Linked DNA regions of Elephas maximus indicus. The protein of the gene in region 1 binds, or shares a complex with, the protein of each later gene. Links are inferred from orthologs where the notes say so. Each region holds a gene or a part of one and is shown on either strand. Other genes may lie near its edges.

Region 1 (3,744 bases):
TCATCCTCCCAATAACCCCAGGTGAAGTACCAGCAACCCCACTTTATAGGTGAGGAAACTAAGGCTCAAAGAGGCATAGTGATTTTTCCAGGGCCACACAACCCAAAAACCTGAGTCAAATTGACACCAAGGTCTCTTGCCAGAATCAGTCATTTCTCTTCTCTGAACCAGTAATGGTGGGCAGAGTGCAGGCCTTGGACATTTGTTCTCAAATCAAAGATGAAAGGGGAGCCATTTAAGTCAGAGATCATGATATCTGATATTAACCAGTCTCTCCTCTTCTCTCAGCTTAGCATTTCTTCCTCCACTTTTCTCCCTCTTCCAAGAAATGGGCACCTCCTCGCCTGGACTTTTGGAACGCCCTGGGGGATCCCAGCTACTGACTAGGGCAGAAGACTTTGGGGTCTCTGGGGGACTGCTTCTTGATGCTGTCTCCGTAGAGATCTCCCTCTGGCCACCCTCCCCACTCCAGCCTTAGTTCCCAGGTGGCACCCCCAGAGGCAAGTTGGTGAGGGACCTTTCTGTTCGGTTCAAGGCGGCTTCAGCCCTACGCTGGGAAGAAAGGAGTTAAAGCCAGGTCCCAGAATCACGGGGACCGGGAAGTTCCGGTGGCCCAAGCAGGAGTGGGCTGGGGAGACCCACTAGAAGCGCGGTTGGGACCCGGGGTTGGGAGGGACGACGGTGCCAGCTATGCCAATCCGAGCATTTCCCCCCATCAGCACTTGGCATGCACTGGTAACACCGTTCCACCTACCCCCCCCCGCCCCCGCCCCCAGCGGTTTTGTCCTTCTCCCCAGAGCAGGCGGCCCGAGTCCGAGACCAGTCCGAGGCCAGCGATCGGCCCCCGCCCGAGCCGGGAGGGGCGTGTCTGCTTCCCGCTGCCCTCCTATTGTCTGCGCGGAGCCAGCGGAGGGGCTGCGAGGGGCGGGGCCGGCCGGGCGGAGGGAGGGAGGGAGGGAGCGAGGGAGGGGCGGGTGGGAGCCCAGGGGGCGGGGGGAGATGCGGAGCCTTCAGGGGCGGAGGAGGCGGCGGCGGCTGAGGGAGAGAGGGAGGAGGGAAGGAAGGCAGGAAGGGGGCTGGCGAAGGCCAGGCTGGGTGGCTGGAGCCGGTGCTGGCTGCGCTGCGCTGCTCTCGACTCCGACGGCTTCTCCCATGCGCTGAAGGCGCCCGGCTGGGCCGGGCCGGCGGCCGGAGGAGAGGCTCCTCTCCATGGTCCAGAAGGCCAGCATGTCCCGGAGCCCTTACCCACCTTCCCAGGAGATCCCCATGGAGGTCTTCGACCCCAGTCCACAGGTGAGACGCGGTGGCCAGGCCGGCGGGAAGGGGCCCACTGCTGCGGACCTTGATGGGGTCAGCTCGAGGGGCGCCGGGGAGGAAGGGGTTATATGTTCGGTGTGGAGGGGAGAGGGGCGCCTGCGCGTCCCCCAGCCCCGCGGGTTAATGATTGATAGACAGTTGGCCCGGAGTTGGGCTGCGGGTGCTGTGGAGCGGGGAGGGGGCAGTCGGGCCGCCTGTCACCCTCGCCTCCTTCGCGTCAGGGTCCCTGCTGCTCGGGTACCGGTTCCAGTGAGATAACAGCGGGGGCTGTTGACGGGGGAGATCCGGGCCTTGAGAAGGGGAGGTTGAAGGAGGCTGGACAGCGAGCTCAGACAAGGAGGGCGACGCAGAGCACGTTCTGGGGCGCTGGGCGAGTGTGGGTGGGACGGGGGTAGCACTGGGAGATGGCCAAGGCAATGGTCAGAGGGCGGTGCCAACAGGGCTTTGAAGCCACGGACACTGGCCCTCGAGGGTGGGGGAAGGGGCCAGCTCCAGGCCAGAATCCCTCCCAGGCTCCTCTGTCCCCCGGTAGCTTGGACCAACTCCCCTCCCCCCACGCCCATGTTGGCTTTCCAAAGTTTGGAAAGTTGGATGCAAGCCAGCTCACTATCCTGAAGGAGAAGAAGCTGTATTACCTGAGGGAGGGGTCTGCCACTCTGCCCCCACTCACGCACTTTTCCCGTGCCCTGGATTACCCCCAGGAAGGGGCATTCCTGGGTGTGGTGGATGCCCGTTGAGTGACCAGCAGGGCCTGGGGTGGTCCTACCAGGAGGTTTCTCTGAGACTTTTCTGTCTCCAGTCCAGCAACACCCCAAGACTAGGATAGAGTTAACCCTTCTCTTGCTGTGGAACAACTGTAACCACCATGATAATGTGGCTGATGCGTATGTAGGGGGGTCAGGTCAGACCTAAAAATACCTCTCTCCTCCACCCTAGGCCCCTTGGAGTCTGGGAGGCAGCTGACTGGGGCCTTCCTTTCAGCTGTCCTCTGTCCTCTGGGTGCCACTCCCTTTTCCCAGCCTGGAGTGGTAGCATTGTGAATGAGAGTCTGGGGTTCACTGGAAGATCCTCTTGGGTTTGTAGGGATCCTCAAACCTAAAGTTTGGGTATATGTCTAGTTTGAAAGAAGAGAAGAGAGGAGGACCCTTGAAGGGTCCCCAAGTGCCCTTCTCTTCCATCTATCCCTCCTCCTTCCTGTCCCCAGGTCCTAAGAGCCAGAACCCCTGATCTGGTCATGGTTCATCCAGGTTATTTGGCCAAAATAAAACTAGGATGGAGGCCAGGGGGAGGGGCTTGGAGGGAATGAACTCTCAATCACAACCCCCCCTCCATTCTGGACTGGCCTGGGGCCAAGTGTGTATTTGTGAACTGGGAAGGGCAAAGAAGCCCCGTTTCCAGGAGGCCTGGAAATTCCTGAAGCCTTTAACTTGAATTTGTGGCTGCCTGAGGGGGGTGAGGCACAGTGTCCACTCCACCGAAGGCAGGAGCCTTGGTCTGTGTGATTGAGCCATCCTGGTTCTGGGAGACCTGTGGGGCTAGACTTGTCCTAGGCTCAACTTGGGATGGGACTCAGGGGCATTTAGATTAACATAGCCTGGTGGATACCATGGGGATAGGGTGTGGGCAGTGGCAGCTGGGATGGAGGGTGGAACCTTGATCACCCTTGTCCCCCTTGGGGAGAGGTGTGGCTATTGTGATTGTGAGATGGGGGTGGAACGAGGCCCTGCCGGGGCCCAGCTAGGAATCTGCCCCCATGGTGCTGGGCCAGGGTTGGATGTTGATTTCCTTTCCAAATACCCTCCCAATCCTCTCCTCGGAAATCTTGCATTGGGTCTCCAAGTGCTCAGAGCTGCCGCTCCCCTCCCTACTCTGCGGAAAAACGAAGGAAAGAGTTGGGCACAGGGGTGAAGCCCAGCCGGGCCCTGGATTGGCTCTTCCTCCTCTTTGGGGACCACTGGCACATTCAAGCCTTCTCTGGAGGGGACTTTCCCTGGCTTTCTCCACCACCCCCCGACAGCACTGCAGGCAGCCTTTTCCTTCCCCTGAGGCCTCTGCAGCCTGCCCTGCATCTTAATTAGCTTTGCTGCCTAATGAGCCGCCAGCTTCTCAGCACCTCTCCTTTTTTAGCCTCCTGGCTTGTTTCAGGAGTTTCTGTGTGTGACCCCCTAAGCCTCTCTTGCAGTGTCCCCCACTCCCTGGCTGTGGTCTGCGCCCTCTCTGGGAAAGTGGGAGACCCTCCCTCCCCTTGGACTGTACCACCTAAGGAAGAAGATAGGGGCAGTGGGGAGCTGTTCAGATTATGGACAGAGGGTTGGAAAAGGTCCTCCCTGATTCCACTTTTGTCCCTTCCCTGCTTTTCTAGGGCAAATACAGCAAGAGGAAAGGGCGGTTCAAAAGGTCGGATGGGAGTACGTCCTCAGATACAAC
Region 2 (3,744 bases), about 10 Mb from region 1:
TTCCTCAAATGACACCACAATTACTTGTATGTAAAACTACGATAGTTTCTTTCTAGGTATTCTGCCTTAAAACTCCAGAACTTTCTTCTTGATCCTTGGCTGCTGCTTGCTGTGGGTCTGCTGCCCAGTTCGTCTGCCTCAGGCCACCCAGCACCCCTGCCCAAGAACCACCTGGCCTGGCTGACTCTGCCTGGGGTTTCCTGAGGCTAGGACCACACAAGTGGTGTGAATGGGCTCAGAGGCTGTGTGCCATGTCCACGCTTCCTAGTGTTCCCCAAGGAGAGGGCCCACCTGCTGGAGACAGTCACCCCTGAGGTAAAGCAGAGACATCGACCCACAAGTCAATCACTGAGTCAGCCAATTGTGACGAATTAGCTCCCGCTGGGAACATTGAAGTCCCTGGGTGGTGTAAACAGGTAATGTGCTCGGCTGCTACCTGAAAGACTGGAGATTCACTCCACCCAGAGGCACCTCAGAAGAAAGGCCTGGTGATATTCCCAGGCCTTTCTTCTGATTGCCAGGCCTTTCTTCCAAAGTGCCTCTGGGTGGACACAAACTGCCAAGCTTTCAGTTAGCAGCCCAGCGCATCAACAATTTGCATCATCCAAAGACTCCAGCCTCCTATTGGTCACCTGTGAATCAACCTACTTCTGTTCTTTTTTCTTAAATACAATTATTTTGTAAAAGGGAACATAGCTGGAAAGTCATTCTTACCTGGCATTAATAGAAGATAAAACTAAAAACAGTGAGAACAGGCCTGAGTCACAGCCAGCTCTGCAGTCTGAGGCCTCCCAGGCCATGTGCCCTTTGCCTAGAAGGGTGGTTTGCAAGCGTCAAGGAGGAATTAAGCACTTCCTGACCCTAACATGAGCTTTGGAAAGAGAACTGAGAAGGAAATAACCTCACTCAGGAGCTGGTGATGCCAGGCCCGGGAACCACATAAATCATCCCGAGATCTGGGAAATGTGGTGGTCTCAGGAGTATGGCCCTTGCCTGGGCCCTGGGTGGGGGATTCCGGGGGTCCCCTAGACAGGGTCCTAAGTCCCCCAGACTCACAGGATGAGGACCTACTCACCATACCTTGGTCACCACCCCTTGCAATGAGAGACTCAGGAAGGCCCCCCAGAGTCCTCTGCCCTCATCCAGAGCAGGCAGATACCCATGCCCTGCCACACCCCTGCCGGACCCTGGCACCCTGAGCGCCGTCCCATAGAGGTCTCAAGTCAGCATCCAGAGCCTCCTCTCCCTGCCCCGCCCTCAGGTATTTCTGGCTCCCCGAGGGGAAGAACGCCCTGAAATCTGAGCAGACACCATCGTGGTGACACACTGGGAGATGGGCATTAATAGCAGCCTCCCTCAGGCCCCTGACACGTCTGGGCAGCTGCTCAACCCCATCCCTCAGTCCCAAGGCCGGCCCATTCTGGCTCGACTGGGCACACTAAACTTAGCTCCGACCCCCAACTCGATACCCGCTGCCACCCCTGCCCAGCTGCCACCTGCCCTGAGAGCTGTGGCTGCTGCGTCCTGCCCAAGGACCCCACCATGTCCCAGACCAAAACCCTGAAGGTCCGTGTGACCCTCTTCTTCATCCTGGTAGGTGTTGTGCTGGCCATGGTGGCTGTGGTGACCGACCACTGGGCCGTGCTCAGCCCCCATTTGGCTCACCAGAACAGTACCTGTGAGATGGCCCACTTCGGCCTCTGGCGGATTTGTACCAAACGCATCGTCCTGGGTGACAGCAAGGACAAGAGCTGCAGAACCATCACCCTGTCCGGGGGTAACGTACCCATTCCCTGTCCCTGCACCCACTTCCTACCCTTCCCTGTCCCCCCATCTCTGGAAATGAGGGCAGGTTTCTCTGGCTCAGAACAGCGCAGGGACAAGACTCTGAATTGCATGTGGTTGTGCTGACAGCCAGAGCCGGTTGTGAAATGAGGGCACTTGTCTCCAGCTATTTCTGTCTTGCTGAGGCTTGGGGCTTTTCACCCAGAGACAAGGGCTGGACAGGTAGGACAAGAGGCTCCAGAAAGAAACTGCAGATCTAACAGTCTAGGGGCTTCTGCTCCTAGCAGTGGTCGAGCCTCTGGGCTTGCCCGGCCCGCAGTTCTCCTGTGATGACGGGCAGGCCAGTGGCTCTGCGTTCCCAGGCTGAAGGGCCAGCAGCTTCATTCATAGGCCTCCTGGCAGGAGCATACATAGGACCAGCTACAGAAGTTCTGGAGTCCTTGGGTGGTGCAAAGGGTTATGCACTGGCTGCTAACTGAAAGGTTGGAGGTTCAAATCCACCCAGAGACACCTCGATCTTCTTCTGAAAAATCAGCCATTGAAAACTCTATGGAGCACACACACACACACACACACACACACAAGAAAATCCTATGGAGCACAGTTCTACTCCACCCATGGGGCCACCATGAGTCGGAATCAATTCCACAGCAACTGGTCTTGAAGTCTTTGGGTGGTTCAAATGGCTAACACGCTCAGCTGCTAATTGGAAGGTTGGAGGTTTCAGCCCACCCAGAGATGCCAATCTACTTCCAAAAACTTGGCCATTGAAAACCCTATGGAGCACAGTTATACTCTGACACAAATGGAGGAGCCATGGGTGGGAATCAACTGATGGCAATACAAAAATTTCCAGGCACAGTGCAAAATGAAAACACCAGGGCTCTTTGTTAAATTTTTTTTAAATTTCAAGACAGTAACAGCAGTGCATTAAACCAAGTGTAGAGGCCTTCCAAGCGTGGGGTCTAGGGCGGCTGGCCTGTGAAGCCAGTCATGCCTGTCGCTAAGTGTCTGCCTTCCCCTCAGACCACGGCCCTGCTGCACAGCTCCGCCAGCTCAAACCTCTTCCCGGATAGAATGCATTGGCTTCCACTGTCCTTTACACATATGCCTCGATTTCCCAACACCAGGCTGAACCAAGCACTGAAGGTGAGTTCCTTGTCCAGAACACCTGGCCTTGGGTGGACCAGTCTCGATTCTGCACATGTGGAACCAACTATATTCACAGCCAGTAGACCACACACCTAAGGAGCACTGTGTGGAGCGTGGGAGGCCTGGGCTCGGGTCACACGCTGCCCACGAGCCCCCTAGATGACCACAGGGGAGGACAAAGCCCCTCTCAGCCTCTGATTCATCCTCTGCAAGGTACAGACTTGGGTTCAGCTCCCAAAGGTCCTGTCCAGTCCCCACAAATGTCCCTCCAAGATGGCAGCGGTCCGTCGTATGTGTGGCACCCACCCCTGGTTGCAGAATTATTTCCTCTGTTGTCAGACAGCTGTCCCTTGAGACCTGCCCTTCAGGAGCATCCATGCTGCATGCCCTGAAATCCTGCAGCCTCGCCCCAGCCTCATGCTTCCCTCTCTGCTCCGGCCTCTCTTCCCCTCCTGCTTCCTCCAGGAATCCCTGTGCTCACCCACCCTCTCCCAGGATGCCTGGAAGACTCAAATACCCAGCTGTCTTGGAAAAACAGAGTCCCAGGGCTGAGGGCCTTGACAGGCGTGGGCATGTGTTAGAAGGATATCACATAGCCAGAAGCCCACGCCCCTTGGCCACTGCCAAGCACGCCAGACAGATGCGTCATCCAGCTGGCTCCCCTGGGACAGGCCAGGCAGGGCATGGTGGGTCAGCCTATCCAGCAACCACATGTGGGGACATCCCATCCCCAGTTCTGCTCCCTGACCTGAGAGGCGCCTGCCTTTTAAAGCCTGGTGAGTTCACAAAGCAGATGAACAGGAGGTG

The links. The genes of interacting proteins can lie anywhere in the genome.
Region 2: CACNB1 (region 1) and CACNG1 share a complex: the UniProt entries of both Homo sapiens proteins name them as parts of the calcium channel complex. The link is inferred for Elephas maximus indicus from reciprocal best matches to the Homo sapiens genes CACNB1 and CACNG1.

The regions. Positions count from the first base shown.
Region 1 is NC_064837.1:46,616,984-46,620,727, reverse strand, and holds the start of CACNB1 (voltage-dependent L-type calcium channel subunit beta-1), read left to right. Parts: upstream 1-1,029; 5' UTR 1,030-1,209; coding exon 1,210-1,293; intron 1,294-3,679; coding exon 3,680-3,744. UniProt on the Homo sapiens protein: Regulatory subunit of L-type calcium channels. Regulates the activity of L-type calcium channels that contain CACNA1A as pore-forming subunit.
Region 2 is NC_064837.1:56,871,551-56,875,294, reverse strand, and holds the start of CACNG1 (voltage-dependent calcium channel gamma-1 subunit), read left to right. Parts: upstream 1-1,542; coding exon 1,543-1,777; intron 1,778-3,744. UniProt on the Homo sapiens protein: Regulatory subunit of the voltage-gated calcium channel that gives rise to L-type calcium currents in skeletal muscle. Regulates channel inactivation kinetics.